Linked DNA regions of Mus musculus. The protein of the gene in region 2 interacts with the protein of the main gene of each other region in a pairwise test. Links are inferred from orthologs where the notes say so. Each region holds a gene or a part of one and is shown on either strand. Other genes may lie near its edges.

Region 1 (7,473 bases), on a different chromosome or scaffold from region 2:
AGCCCCCCACCTCCAAAGCTACTGAAGGGTTGTGTATGAAATTGGGTGTTTGCAGGATTAGGCAGCAGTCAAAGGCAAGAGCAGATGTGGGTTTTGATTCCAGATCAATGGCTTGGGGGCAAGTTATTTTAGCGGCTTGGACTTCCAGTCGTCCCCTGGCTTGTAGAATGGGGGATCCTAACAGGAGCTTGGCTTGTTGGCTGTTTGTCACAAACCCTCAGAAGCAAACAGGCTAAGAACAGGACTGGTTAACTCAGCAATCTGCTTCACATGCAGTAAGCACTCAATAATAGCTTTTATTATAATTGCCACGGTTCAGAGGCGGGGAGGTGTGAAAGGCAAGGGAAGGGCATGGGGACAAGGGGGACATGGGAGAGGTGGGACAAAGGAAAGGCACTCTAACCTGTGCTGGGGCCGAGTCTGGGAAGGGGATGAGCCTGCTTGTACTCCCGCACATAAAGTGCCAGATATTATCAACACAAGCAGCAGCCATGGTGGGGTTTCTGGGTCTGTCTCTGAGGCAAACTGTACCGTGCATTATAGGTAGGCAGCGTCCAATGTGAGTCGAAGAAAGCCTGCCTGCCAGGGCCAGGACTCAAGGAGTGCACTGAAATTGAGGATGACCATAACAAAGAAATAAGAGATAAGAGGTGTCCGCATTTCCAGGAAAGAATGTAGCATGCCTGGTAGTTGGGGAAAGCTGAGGTTGGTGCGGGGTCCTTCACTCACCAGGGACTCAGTGTTGAGGGATCAGCAATGAGGATAAGTATGTAGAGAGAAGGGGACAGGGTAGATAAAGGCACCAGGTGGGGTTCTGGCCTGGCCAGGAAGGAAGATGGGTAGCTAAGGTAGGTAAGGACTGGACTTCTCCGAACGCCCTCAACTTCGAGCTAGGGCATCTAGGCATAACCCTGAGCACAGTCCAGGCTGGTGGCACCCCTCCACGGGGATGACCCTAAGGACCTGCCCCGACTGGTTCCCCATCACACCAACGCATAGTCGAACTGCCCGCGTTCGAGCGCCTCCTTGTGGTCGGTCCAGGACGAGGCGGGCATGCGGCTGTAGGGGTCTAGCAGTATGCGCACACAGCGCACCATCAACAGAACCAACACCACGAGCAGGCAGAGCACGAAGGCGAACACCGTGCGTTGCTCGACGTCCAGGCCCGCGCCCACCGGGGGCCCCGTCGACGGCGGCAGCGGCTCCGGTGATAGTGTCCACGCCGAACTCATAGCTCACATCGCCGCGCTCTGAGGAGAGAGGGGTACCCACCCCGGGGTCCGCGGGGATGAGGCTATGCCCTTCCTGCACCTCCATCCACCCCTTCTGGAGTAGCCCCTTTGCTGTATCCCACAGCATCATCTCTGTCCGTGTTGTCGTCTCCGGGCTACGCCCATGCCCCGCCTGTGCGCTCCGCCGCCACAGCCACGCGGGGACTCAACTCCAGCGGTGCGCGCAGGTGGGGTCGCTGAGAGCCGGGACAGGTCAGCTTAGATCTGCCCAGCCCGCGCACAACAGGTGCGATCGCGCTGGGACAGAGACCAGAGCTGCACTGTTTGAACTGGTCCCCGCCCCGCTCCCTTTGTTCTCCAAGGCCCAAGACCCCCCTCCCCCACCGTAGCCGACTCCCGGGCTACAACGCGCCCCCCTCACCCTTGGTCCTAGACGGGGACCGGCCGCCCTGCAGCCCCTCTCTCTCTCTCTTTCTCGGAACTCGTGCGCTGCTTTGCTCTGGTCTTCCCGGGTGGCAGTGGTAGCGGCGGAGGCTGTGGCAGCCCCGGCTCAGCCCACCCCACCCGCCCCTGGAGCGGTGGAGACCGAGGGAGGAAGGAGAGCCGCGCGCCAGCCCAGCCGCCGCGGCTGTTCCCATGGCGACGAGGGCGGGGCTGCGAGGGGGTGGTGGCTGTGTTAGGAGCGGTGCCTGGGCTTGTGACCCCGCCCCGGCCTGCCTATCGGAAGGCTGAACCTTCCCACCGCTGTGCCAGCCCAGACAGCCTCAGCTTCCAGCTCCTAGAGCACCCAGGACCTCGCCAGGACATGGGCATTTACGCCTCTCCCACGGAAGCCTCTCCTAACCTCGGTGTCTGTATCCGTATTCTTCCCGGGCAACCCCTTACCCCAGTCTCTGTTAGTTAAGCCCCGAAGCCTTAGGGAACCCCGAATTCAACTGAGACCCCAGACAGCTGGGATGCTTATTCTTCCCACAAAAGGGCAGGGTGTTGGCCCGAGAAAGCAGCACTCTCTCTGGCTACAATCCTTCACTGACCTAGGTCTCTGACAGGCCCTCAGTCCCAGCCTTCCCAGCAGAGAGGTACACTTCAAACCGTTCAAACTGCTCTTCTGCGCTTTGGTGTTTTATTAGGTCCAGATCTTAGGCTTATGTACAGGAAGTAAGAGCACTGATTTAAAAACAAAAACAAAACAAAACAAAAGGACCTAAAGTGGCTTGGAAGGCAATGCCAGTGGACTACTTAGAACAGCAGGCCAGGCCTCACCCGACAGGAGTCCTGGGCTGGGGCCTTCTGACACTGCCAGCAACCCCTGTGACGGACGCACTGGGAGACAGTCCCCATCCTGCTAGACACCCCAAGCTCTTCCCTTGTCCAGCTGGTTTCACAGCTGCCCTGAAGAACTTGGGGCAGAAGCTTGTTCACAGCTGTATCAGATGTGGCAAAGTGTCTCTGTGTGTCTGTCCCATGATGGTCTAGCCTCGAGCTGCCTAGACTCCATTGCTGCCCTCAGAGGATCTGCTCTGTGCTGGAGGCTGAGATGTCCAGAAGGCGCCAGGCAGCATAAGGGTTGAGCTCCTCCTGGTCTCTGCAGAGTGCCCACACGTACAGCATTCGCTGCACCTTGTCCTGTGAAGACCGGGCAGGGTGAGGGGTCAGGCTTGGTGGGTGTACAGAAAGAAGGGCTACTGAGGGGGACAGGGAAGGGGTTCCCGGGCTGCTGGCTCTGGTCAGTGGTCAGATGAAACGGTGCTCTGACTTCAAAAAGCTCTCAATTCGTACTTGTGGTGCTTCTGCCTGGCTCTGTGCTGGGGAGGCGTGCAATGCACAGGGCCCTGTATGTGAGAAGCACTCCCAAACCTCCATTCCCTTGATTACCACTCACCGGGTCACCATCATACACCTCGCCTTTGGAGTTCTTGATCACCATCACCACCTGGGCCTGAAAGGTAACGATCAGCACTGGGCCCTGCTCCATCATCTTGCCCATGGCCAGCTGCAGGAAACACACAAGTACAGGCCTCAGAACTGTACACCTCCACCCAATGCTCACAACCCTGGAGATGAAACGCCCCAAAGTTGCACTCTGTACTTGTCCTATAGTCTGACACTTTGCCGTGCTAAAGGTATGGTACCACCCTCCCCGACTTTAGAGGAGTGATTTTTTTCCAATGAGCTCCTTCTCATGGGCAACTCCAGGCCTTCAACTGTGGGATTTCTCTGTTCCCAGACTGGGTCCATGCAGGTTCATAAAACCAAGGGGTGAAGGAAGGCAGGAAGTTGGCTCCACTTTGCCTGCAGCTCCTACGAGGTAAGAAGTTCTGGTGACGGAAGCTGAACTGCCTGTTAGGGGCCCACGCTGCAGAGGCAGGGGCACCACTGCCAGTGGAGCTCAAGGGCTCAGCACCTGCCCAATAACACAGGATCCTGGATGCAGGATGAGCTGCGTCCTGATAAACACGCTTGAAAGTATCATGGAAAACTCATTAAAACACCAAATGAAATAAGCATCCTAGCCAAGTACAGGTAAGCAAAATTAGCTTCATTTTGTAATTAATAGGTAATGCAAAGCCTATTTTTATTTTGATACAGGGTCTCAGGTAACATAGGGTGGCCTTACTCACAATATAGTTATGAATGGCCTGAATCCCACTGCCTCAGCCTTCAAATGCTGGGATTATAGGCATGAGCTACCACACCCACTAACAAAGAGTATTTTACAATAAAGTCATTTAGCTCAGATTACCCTTAAACTCATGGGATCTTCCTGCCTCAACTTCCAGAGTGCTTGAATTCTAGGTGTGTCTCTCGATGCCTGGCTCACCGCATAGAATTTTGTTTTTATTTTTCATTTTTTGTATGAATAGCATGTGTGCTAATATGTGCACACAAACACAGACCAGCCCTCTCCTCAAAACCAACCAAACATCAACCAATCACTCAAGCCACATTGTTTGGCTGGAAATCACTTACACTTCAAGCGCAGAAATACGGAAAGCTTTGAGAGGCAGGTCAACAGTTTTGTTTGTTACCATCCTAGGAATTCAAGCCGGTGCCTTACAAATGCTAAGCCAGGACTCTTAGCACTGGCATATCCCCAGGCCTTGTCTTACTTTCTCTTTTGAAACTGTGTCACAAAGTTACCTAGATGAGTGTGGAACTCACTCTGTAGCCCAAGCAGCCCTGCCGTGAGTATGGGGGATCGGCAGGTCTGGCTTCATTTATAGGCTATGTCAGCTGCTGCTTCACTCTGACTGTCTGCTTCCTTGGGGATGACTTACGTCCACATTGCTGATGTCCAGAATTCGGGAGTGGAACTGGAAGCCCAGAGCCTTGGCCTGCTGGATAGGGTGGGCCAGCTGGCTGTAGGTCTGCAATGAGAGGCAATATGCCCATGTAGTCAGCCACTGATAGGGGTTGGGTTACACCCAGAGGTATAGCCACTTTTATATGCCCTAACACCCAAACTGGCAGAAGCCAAGAGCACAAGTCCAAGCCCAGAAGGATGCCACTCTTGGCTGGCCAGACCTGCACACTTCTCATTATGGAAAGAGCCATACGTCCAAGTAGGATCAGTATTAATCAGTGTAGTGGGTAATTCACAGCATCATCCGAAGTACACTCCCAGGGTAAGCTGGGGGACTCTTGGCTGATCTCTACTGTTCCCAGATTCACCTCCCCTGGAATCTTGGCCTGGATTCAAATGCCGTTTCTAGGATTTGTCCCAACCCTTTGGGCTGCCCTAGAACTCACAGCTTAAGTAGCCTCTCTCACAGAACATCCAACGTGCCACCCTCCACTGCCCCAAGAGCCTGGGGGACATGTAGCCACAAGGAGAGCAGTTTGAGCTTGGAGTCAACTAAGACAGGAAATGGCCTGAAGGCATTTCTGGACTTCAGAAATAACAGATGCTGAACAGAAGTGGGAGTGGCTCGAATAAGCAGTAGTGCTAGGTTGGGGAGATGGCTCAGTGATTAAGCACTTTTTGCACAATTATGATGACCTGAGTTCAAATCTCCATAATCCATGTAAAGTTGGGCGTATGTAATCTCAGCATTCCTGAAGTGAGATGGGAAGTGGGGACAGGAGCTCTGGAAACCCTTGGCCAGCCAGCCTGGTGCACACACAGTGGTGAACAAGATACCCTGTCCCACACAAGATAAGAGATGAGGATCAGCACTGGAGACTGTCCTATGGCTTCCACACAGCATTGTGGCACAAACACATTATACACACACAAAGGAGTGCCAACCCTACCTGGTGGGTTTCTGCTGTTTATTGCTATAGAGATAAGGGTTTCATGTAGCTCAAGGTAGCCATGAAGCAAAAAATGAGCCTGGGGCTGGAGATCCGGAGTTCAATTCCCAGCAACCACATGGTGGCCCATAACCATCTATAATAAGATCTGGTGCCTTCTTCTGGCCTGCAGGCATACATGGAAGCAGAACACTATATACATAATAAATAAATCTTAAAAAAAACAAAACCATGAAAAAACGATGTCTCTGCTGCTTCTCCTTCCCCAGTGCCAGGATGGTAGACATGGTCTCCACAGCTGGTGTGTCAGTGCTAGTGAGCAAACTCGTGGCTTCTGGCACATGAGGTAGAAGTGCCATGCCCCACACCCAGCGCTTCCTCAAGGCAGCATTTTACAAACACCTTACTGGAAGCCAACTACAATTTCAGCTGTGTTCTGGGGGTACCAGGCTATTCTTGGATAGAGAAGATCAGCCAGGACTTCGTGGTTCCAAAGGAGGAGAGAGGGAGGAAGGGAGGAAGGAGGAAGAGGAAGAGAACTCTCCTAATGCCCACTGGCTTAGTCACCAGTGCAGGGGAGTAGTTAAAAAGAGAACCTGACAGATCTTCTCCTCTGCTTTTCCCAAGTTGTTTGTGAGCTCGGGACAGAATAGGATGAGCCAAAAAAAGGCTCCAGATTGCTTCACACAAAGAAGCTGGAAGAAAAACAAAACTAAACAAAAACCTCACAACCCTGCTTGGAGATGCAGCCAGAAGCCGGTAGGGTGAGGTAAGGTGGCCTGAGCAGACCAGACGAGAGCAGGAGTTCCATGGAGACAGGGAGGTTGCCAGGAAAGAGCAGACAGCATGTGCTCCCAGTGAAGATACTGGCTTCCCCACAGCCTGCTCTGACCGTGACCCTGGGATCTTAAGATGAGCCATGACTCTGGGAAGTAGCTAGGGCCTCCTTAGGACACAATGTCCTTCCTCAGCCGGGAAGTCTACCCACATTTCTGTTTTAATCTTTGTTACATTATCTTATTAGAGGGGGGAATCTGCTGGGTCATTGTAAATACTTCAGTATTCACAGTTAACTCATAATCACCATGAGGCACCTGCCACCACCATGTATGGGGCTCAGCAGTGCCAGGGGAAACCTTATACATTCCAGTGAGCTCTTCCATCACCTTCCTGCATGGGACGCCCCCAACCTGCACATCCCAGGCCATCTTTCATGGGGTCCTGATCATTGCCACTTAAACTGTGCAGAAAAAAAAGACAACTACCCTGGAAATTATATATTTGTGTCAAGAATTATTTCTGCCGGGCAGTGGTGGCGCACGCCTTTAATCTCAGCACTTAGGAGTCAGAGGCAGGCGGATTTCTGAGATCGAGGCCAACCTGGTCTACAGAGTGAGTTCCAGGACAGCCAGAACTACACAGAGAAACCCTGTCTCGAAAACCAAAGAATCATTTCTGTGATTCTCTTTAACCAAAATTAGTTTCTAGGTGCCGGGGAGGTGGTTCAGTGGGTAAACACTTTATGTGCAAGCATGTGGAGTCTGGATCTCAAGAACTCACACAAAAGACGAGGGGTGTGGAAGCGTCGTCTGTAAATCCAGTGCCCAGGAGGTAGAAGCAGGGAGCTCACAGGCAAGCTGGCTAGCTAGGAAACTGCAAACCATAGGTTCAGCAAAACTCCCTGCCTCCATTTCAGGTGGAGAGGAACTGTCATCAGCCTTTCTTCAAGCCTCCAGACACACGTGCCTTTACCCACATGTAAATATGCATATACTCATATGCCATACAAAGATACATAGGCCACATGCCATCCACCCACCCCCATTATTTTACAGGGCTGAAGATAGAGTTCAACAGTAGAACCTAGCCTTCATGCATGCATTAAGTAGAACCTAGCCTTCATGCATGCATTAAGTAGAACCTAGCCTTCATGCATGCATTAAGTAGAACCTAGCCTTCATGCATGCATTAAGTAGAACCTAGCCTT
Region 2 (8,435 bases):
GTATCCTCCAGAGAAGACTACTCAGACATAGCTTTAAGGCAATAGAAAGTCTTTTTAGCCACCTTCAATTACACTGGATGTTTAGGATCCCAGTGCAGCATGGAGCCTTTCTCAAGGTGAGATTTTAAGCATGAAAACCATATCCTGGATTGACACACTTTAGTTAACAAGAACAGTTAGCCAGAAGTAGAACTACAGAAGCCAAAAAGCAAGGTTAGTACATTTAGAGACTATATTGACTTTGATGGATTGGGTGTTTGTTTTAGTTTTGGCAGATGGAACTGTCTAAGTGCTAAGTTTTACCCTGAATGGTACTTCCATCAGGGAGTCGAAAGGTCTAGGGGCCTACTAAGATCTGGGGCCCTGCTATAAAACTACAAAGAGAAACCTTGTTTCAAAAAAAGAAGGATGGAGGAGGAGAAGGAAGTAGTAGTTCTGGGACTGGATTGATGCTCACGAGTTAAAAGTAAGAAAGGCACCAAGGAGCACAAGAATAGAAAGGTCAACCAGGCGTGGTGGCGCACGCCTTTAAACCCAGCACGTGGGAGGCAGAGGCAGGTGGATTTCTGAGTTTGAGGCCGGTCTGGTCTACAGAGTGTGTTCCAGGACAGCCAGGGCTATACAGAGAAATCCTGTCTCAAAAAACAAAAACAAACAAACAAACAAACAAACAAACAAACAAACAACCCCACATCCCTTTCTTGATCTCCCAAGGTATTTTGGACCCTCTCACTGAGTTCCAGCAGCAGGTAATCAAGACATTATAATGTAATGGGCCTGCACTGGGAGATGGGGATTTGAGGGTCCAGAAATTTAATTTAAAAGAAAATTCTAAAAAAATAATCCATAGTTTTTTTGTTTTTTGTAAAAGAAAGATTGAGTGCAGAGAAGAGAGCAGTGGGGGCAGGAGCGATATAGCTCAGCAGTCAAGAGCACTTGCTGTTCTTCCAGTTTGGTTCTCAGTGCCTACATATGGTAGCTTACCTTTAGTTCCAATTCCAGGGGATTCAATGTCCCCTTCTGAACTCTGCAGGCACACACACACACACACAGAGTGGGAAGAAATAAAAAAAAATGTTTTTTTTTTAAGTGAGGACAAAGTGGGTCAGATACTATATAACTCATCCTGGGGCCTGGGGGAATGGCTCAGTAAAACACTTGCCATGCAGTCCTGAGGACCTGAAGATAAAAGCCAGCAGCAGCGTATGTCTGTGACCCCAGTGCTGAGAAGGTATAAATAGGCAGATCCCTGGAGGTCACTGGCCAGCCAGTCTAGCAAAAAGGGTGACTTTCAGATTTAATGACAGACACTCTCCAAAAAATACAGTGGAGATGAGTTGAAAGAGGCATACACCAGCTGATATGAGGCCCTCAACACACATACAGTAGAGGACTTCCAGGTCTGTGTTCATTCAGAGATGATACACCTAACCCTCGAGAGACTGCCCCAGGGAGTTTAGAGGTAAGGTGGTGGTGATGGTGGGGTTGGGGCATCCAAGTGGAGACAAGGGTGGGGTGGGGAGGAGGTGTGGGGTGTGGAACAGTCGGAGGGTGGATGGAGTGGGGCGGGTAATGGAATATGGAGTGTAAAAAAATAATTAAAAATAAAATTAAGAAAATATATAAGAAACAGGGGCATATCAAAAAAAAAGAGGCAACCTAGGCCAATCTTTGGCTTCCACACATACATGCACATGAACTTGCATGCACATGTGCATATATCCACACAAGTACATATATCAGCATCCACCGTTATCTTTTATATATGTGAATTCATGACACCTGTACATATATGTACATGTATATAAAACCAAGGGATCAATTTCCAGTATCCTTCAGGTGCCATCAACTTTGTTTACTATTATTACTAATATTATTATTTTGTACATGCACAATGGGGTACACAAGTGCTATAGTATATATGTGGAGGTTAAAAGACAATTTTGTGGAGTCAATTTTTCCTTTTGCCTTTTTGTGGGTTCCAGGGATCAAACTCAGGTTAGCTGGTCTGCAACACAAGCACCTTTAACCACTGAACCATCTTGCTAGATTTCATTCACCTTGATTGTTGAGACAGAGCCTCTTCATTGGCCTGGAGCTCATTGACTCAGCTAGACTTGCTGGCAGCCAGTCTCAGGGATCTTGCTGTTTCCTCCTCTCACTGGCATTACAAACACAGATCACCACACTTGGTTTATTTTTATGTGGAAAGTACCTGAAACACTTACTTTACCAACTTGAGCCGTCTCCCTAGAACCCAATAAGTCAGTTTGAAGAGCAGGAACTAATCCATTGCTGCAAGAACTAATCCAGTCTTGCACGGATGATGTCAATCCCCTGAAAGGCCCCACCTATCAGTATCCATGCACTGGCTACCAAAATTCCACCATGAATTTTGACAAGAACAGACCACATCCACACCATAGTAATATTCTCTTTACTCTTTCCCCAAATGGTAGCTAGTTTGATTTCTTTCACTATAAACTGGTTTTTCCTGGCTTAGAATTCCATTGAAAACTATAGTAATGAAAACTATAGTATTACTCTTTAGTTCCTGGTTTTTTTTCCTTCTTTTAAACTTAGGTCTAGGAAATTCATCTATGCTGTTCTATAGTTGTGATTGCTGAGTGTTCTATTATGTGACGTTGTCATAGTTCATGGTCTATTCTTTTGTTGGATACCAAGGCTGTTTCTAGTATTTTTTTGTTTTTAGTTTTTACATTTCCTAATATGAATAAAGCTAATCTGAATATGTGCATACATGTTTTAGTGTGGATATGTAATGGGCTGTGGTTGGCTCACCATAGCCAATTTAGGGCCTTTCTTAATTCTGGTTCAGTGATGTCATATTGGTAGTTTGAAACATCCACTGTAGGAATCTTTATACCACAACTGACAAATGTTACAAATTACAATTGTTTTCTTTTTGAAAAGCTGGTTGTTAACATTTACCAGCATACCATGTGGGTATATGTTTTCATTTCTCTAGAGTAAACACTTAGAAATGATGTTGTTGGATTCATGATTGATTGATTTTCAAATTATTTCTTGTCCTGTTTTTGCAAAGAACTTAAAGAAAGAAATCTTATCTTTTTATAGAACCAACAGACTCAGCCCATTACATACAGGTTCTCAAAATAACTACTAGCTCGTTTTGAAGTAAGAAAACGTGACGGTACCATTTGGGACACAGAGTTTCTCTTAAATTCATCTAGTAGTCAGGGTGGCCATCTGTTACTTAACTATATCCAAAGGAAAACCAAGACTCATATCTTAGAAGAAAGAAGGAACAACTTTGAGCTGGACACATAGAGGAAGTTTGCATCAGACAGGGAGATAGGGGTGTTGTTACATTTGAAAGAGATGGTTTCAAGGCCTTTAGGAAAATTTTCTGTGGTTGTAAAACTGGCAAGAGACTGCCATACTCTTTGGGGAGGGGCAGGGTGCTGAGAATTTAACTCAGGGCTTTGTGGTTCATTCTCTTGTTGAGCTACAACCCTAGAACTAAGCTTTTAAGGAAGATTTATCTATCTATCTATCTATCTATCTATCTCCAATAGACAGAGAAAATAAAAGTTTTCTGAAGGAAATGCTCCAAAAAAAGAATGTAGGTACATACACATGTGTGTGTCTGTGCCTTTTCTTATTCTGATGCCTGGGTAAATTCAGTTTAAGAATTATATTCATCCTAAAATATGTCCACAAATGGCTGCCACAGGATTGCATTCCAGAACAACACTCCCTTCTTCACCTAGCCAGCTGTGGTCTGTCTTTCAAATTCCTCAACCCCTTTCCTCCCTCCCTAGAGCCAGACCTCCAGCACGGATCCGCTAATTAGCAAAAGTTATGACTACAGTTTCTTAGAGCTGGTAAATACTGAACATCATTTAGTCTGAGTCCACCCTGTTTTAAAGACCATCAAATTAAGATATATGAATAGTCCTTTAAAATGTGCTTTACACTACTGGCCAAATTGCATTTAAGGGTTTCTCTTGCTCAGATCAGTCTTAAATGGCCAGAAAATACAAAACTGAAATGGAGTCGTGCCTCTGACACGCACACCAAAAAAAGACAAGCTTCTTTATTCTATAGCACGGTTAGGGTTAAAGTCCTTAAAACGCAGTAGTCGCCCTGACTGCGCCTGCGCGCCAATCAGGACAGGCGAATTTGCCCTAGAGACAGCCATTTGAGCCCACCCCTCCTAATCCGGAACACGACCCACATTCCGCTGGCCCTGTCTTGATGGGCATGATCATCCTCCAATAAGAATGGAGAGACGAGTCACAGCGAGCCAATAGCAAAAAGCCTAGGGACGGTGGCGGTGGACTGAGAGGAAACAAGAAGACAAGCCCAAGATGGAGGCGGTGGTGGTGGTAGCGGTGTGACAGGTGAGGGCAGGCCCGGTAGGGTTCGGGTTTTGGAGCGGCTGCGGGACCCGGGTATGAAGTCCAGACCGAAAGCTCAGCTCCAAGATGCTTCCGTCTGAATCTCAGCGTTCTCCCGCCCGGAACCAAAGGAGTGGTTTGACCAGGGCGAGACCGTCGTCATCGACCGTGGGAGTGGATGGAGGAGTCGGCCTGCAGGCTGCAGTGGTGGTTTCGCTTGCTGCGCGTGGCAGTGCACCTGCACAGAGCTTGAAGCCCTTGGGGAGGGCGGGACGGAGCCAAATTGGGTCTGGGGTCTGGGGCTTGGGTGCGAAATTCCAAGGTGAATTCTTAAACCCCTTAAAATGTCTAATGACGTTTCCTCACGACGTCCAGGAGATGCAGCTCTCTCCCATGGTTCCTTATTGCCCTTCATATTCTACGCCACCTAGGAAGATGTCTGACGATTACCTCATTATCCCTAGTTCACCCTAATCCCTTTCCATGATTTCACAGTGCGTTTACACCAGTAATCTGTTTGTGACCCCCAGTAGTTATCAGGTACAGTTTTTGGAAACCCTTCCCCCAACCTCACCTCCATCTTCTTCATCTGGATACCATTGTCTTCCTTTGCCTTTCCTCTTGATAGTGTTTTCTGATGAGCCATCATTGCCACTGCATTTGATTTAGTGTGTAATGTGGTCTGTTATCCAGCTGTTTTTCACAGTCTGTAGTGACTCTTATTACATCTCTCTTTAGTCTAGGGTATGGCGAACCTCTGTGGACTCTAGAGGGTCTGGTGACCTCTATTAGCTACCTGACAGTACCTTTGATTCTACCATTAGCCTTATAGCTTATGCTCTGGAATACCCACAGTGCCTTTTAAGGTCATTGGTACTGTCTTCATTTCCTTCAATCTAAAAACAAGGTCTGATGATCCTCCATTTTCCTGTCCCCTGTCTGTGTCTGATTACCCATTCTCTGAAGCTAAGACAGCCTGTTTATTTCCATTGTGTGCCTGAGACCTGTGATTTTTCAGTGCAGTACATAATGGCTTCCCCATTAATCTCTAGAGAGTCATGTGTTCTGCACTGTCCAGAACCGTGTGCACTGTCTCCTCACTGCAGTGAGTCTCAGATCTTGGTACTCAACTATGACATAAGCAATAGGAGATTCTCAGCAGAGAAGGGTTAGTATCATTGGGCTGGTTCATAAAAAGTGGGATTTAGGGAACAGTGGGAACTTGGAGATGGAATTTTATATGTCCTCTGCCACTCTGCTTTCAGGCTGTCATTACTAGACCTCTGAATTTCTCCTCTGTCCTCTGCTAGGAGGCCTATGGCAGCTGCCCAGTCCTACCTCAGCCCATCTTGAAAACAATCTTAGGCAACATGGAACCACCACGAGGCCCTCCTGTTAGTGGGGCTGAGCCATCTCGGGCAGTTGGCACTGTCAAAGTGTACCTGCCTAACAAGCAACGCACAGTGGTGAGTCACTCAGGCAGTACTGGCAGGGGTTCCAGATAGTCGTAGTGTGGGATCAGAAGGGTGGCGAGGGTTAGGGAATGAATGCTGCAGAGGGAAGGAATAATTGGCTAGGGTACCTATTGGATACTGAAGACCCCAATCTCTACACACACACACACACAGGTGACTGTCCGGGAAGGCATGAGTGTCTATGACTCTTTGGACAAGGCCCTGAAGGTGCGGGGTCTCAACCAGGACTGCTGTGTGGTCTACAGGCTCATCAAAGGGTAAGTATGGAAACCCCATGCCATTCACTGGGTCCCTACACACCTCCTTTCTTCAGTGCCATCTTATTCCTCCTCATTTGTCTTGGAGTCTTCCACTATCTGAGGTAACCCAGGTGACATCTTTCGTTTCCCTTCATTGACCATTGGAAGGTCTGCAATTCACTATGCACTCAGCCCTCAAGTCCTCAGTCTGTCACCTTCCAGAGTTCATCTGTTTTGTTCTTTCACCATTTCTTGAAGTCACAAGCTCTTTCTTTTCTCATGGTCCCCATACACCATGGAGTTGGTGGTCTTCATTGACCTTTCTATTCTTTGTTTGTTTGTTTGTTTGTTTTGTTTGTTTTTTTTTTTTTTTTTTTTTGAGACAGGGTTTCTCTGTATAGCCCTGGCTGTCCTGGAACTCACTTTGTAGACCAGGCTGGCCTCGAACTCAGAAATCCACTTGCCTCTGCCTCCCGAGTGCTGGGATTAAAGGTGTGCGCCACCACGCCTGCCTGACCTTTCTATTCTTGTGTTCCTTGGTGCCTTAATGTTTTGGATGGAGTTCCTGTTTTCATTTTACCTGTTTCAGTGTCTCAGGTGCTGGCTTACTACGCCTGAGATGTAGTTTCATTTGCCTCTCACCACATGCTTAAGATCATGGATTAAATCTGGGAGTGGTGGGTATACCTGTTAGCCTAGCGCTTGGGCAATTCACCTAATTGCTTGAGCCTGTTTCCTCATGTGTAAAGTGGGAGTAAAAATAGTGACTAACTTTATTTTTTATTTGAAATGTTACCCTTTTTATGTGTATGAGTGTTTTGACTGCATGCGTGTGCACTGTGTGTGTTCCTCACGCCTATGGAGGCCAGAAGAAGGTTGAAGATCCCACCGGAGTTAAGGATGGTTATGAGCCACGGTGTGAGTGCTGGGAACTGAACCCAGGTCCTCTGAAAGAAAAGCAAGTATTCTTAACTGCTGAGCCATCATCTCTCCTGTCCAAAAGTGACTAACGTAGTGAGAATTAAACATGTGGGAGAGTGGTTCGTGGATGGGACTGAGAGGAACTTTGGGAACTTCCCTGTCTACTGTGGTCCCAGTGTATCATCGCTCTCATTCTCTCCCATACTTCTTGCAGAAGAAAGACAGTCACTGCCTGGGACACAGCCATTGCGCCTCTGGATGGTGAGGAGCTCATTGTGGAGGTCCTAGAAGATGTGCCACTGACCATGCACAATTTTGTAAGTCTAATGGGGATGGTGGGGGAGGCCACAGTGTGGACAGAGAGGGCCTTCAGTCGGGCCTGCACTTCCCTGCTTTGTGGCTGCAGGTACGGAAGACATTCTTCAGCCTGGCCTTCTGTGACTTCTGCCTTAAGTTTCTGTTCCATGGATTCCGCTGCCAGACCTGTGGCTACAAGTTCCACCAGCATTGTTCCTCCAAGGTCCCCACCGTCTGCGTTGACATGAGTACCAACCGCCGACAGTGAGCCCAGCCTGGGGTGGCTTGAGGGGTGGGGAGGACGGAAGCCCCAGCACGAGGGCTTACAGTCAGCCAAGCTATACTCACAGCCTTCTTGTTTTACACCTTTATGCCCTCAAGGTTCTACCACAGCATCCAGGATCTGTCTGGAGGCTCCAGGCAGCAGGAGGCTCCCTCAAATCTCTCTGTGAATGAGCTGCTAACCCCCCAGGGTCCCAGGTAGGGATGTCGTAGATGAAAGGCCAGGGGGCCAGTGAAAGAAGGATTGGAGGACCCTGAGAGATTATACTTTCGTTTATTTGTTTACGTGATAAATACTATTGAGTACCTACAAGTGTTGAATATGGGCATGGGATTGTGGGATCATTGGTAAGGCACCCAGTCACTCCAGGTTTCATTTTTTTCATCTGGGAAGAGGGGATGAGATTTTCCCTAGTGGGTTCTGAAGAGGATTAAGGGTTGAGATATTTGCAATGCTTAAAGCAAGATCTGATACAGAGTAAATAACAAGTGTTATTCATTACAAGTGTATATATAAAATCATCTAGTTTGTTCATTTCTTCCAGTATAACCACACCCCAGTCTTTTCTCTTTGAAATAAATGTTACTGTATCAGAAAGTACTTTTATTTCACTTATGTTGGATATGATAGCATATAGTTTTGCATAATATATAAAAAGTAAGGTTAATGTATTATTATTTGTAGTTATGAGTGTATGTGTGTTGATTTACCTGTGAATTTAATCTCAGGATGGTGAAAGTAACAGAAGAATGTTTTTCTGTAAGGTATAATTCATGGGAGGTGGAGGCAAGACGATCAATAGTTCAAGGCTACCCTCCACTAAGTAGCAAGTTCA

What was found.
Region 1: the proteins of Araf (region 2) and Timm44 interact in binary tests that used the Homo sapiens proteins (3 or more experiments, as listed by UniProt). The link is inferred for Mus musculus from reciprocal best matches to the Homo sapiens genes ARAF and TIMM44.

The regions. Positions count from the first base shown.
Region 1 is NC_000074.6:4,257,398-4,264,870, forward strand, and holds the end of Timm44 (mitochondrial import inner membrane translocase subunit TIM44), read right to left. Parts: intron 4,601-7,473; coding exon 4,511-4,600; intron 3,226-4,510; coding exon 3,115-3,225; intron 2,859-3,114; coding exon 2,739-2,858; 3' UTR 2,334-2,738; downstream 1-2,333. Other genes in the region: Ctxn1 (cortexin-1), read right to left, coding at 984-1,232. UniProt on the Homo sapiens protein: Essential component of the PAM complex, a complex required for the translocation of transit peptide-containing proteins from the inner membrane into the mitochondrial matrix in an ATP-dependent manner.
Region 2 is NC_000086.7:20,844,232-20,852,666, forward strand, and holds the start of Araf (serine/threonine-protein kinase A-Raf), read left to right. Parts: upstream 1-4,311; 5' UTR 4,312-4,388; exon of another isoform or gene 4,389-5,695; coding exon of another isoform or gene 5,696-5,755; coding exon 5,756-5,851; intron 5,852-6,013; coding exon 6,014-6,117; intron 6,118-7,234; coding exon 7,235-7,337; intron 7,338-7,426; coding exon 7,427-7,581; intron 7,582-7,698; coding exon 7,699-7,797; coding exon of another isoform or gene 7,798-7,801; exon of another isoform or gene 7,802-8,435. UniProt on the Homo sapiens protein: Involved in the transduction of mitogenic signals from the cell membrane to the nucleus. May also regulate the TOR signaling cascade. Phosphorylates PFKFB2.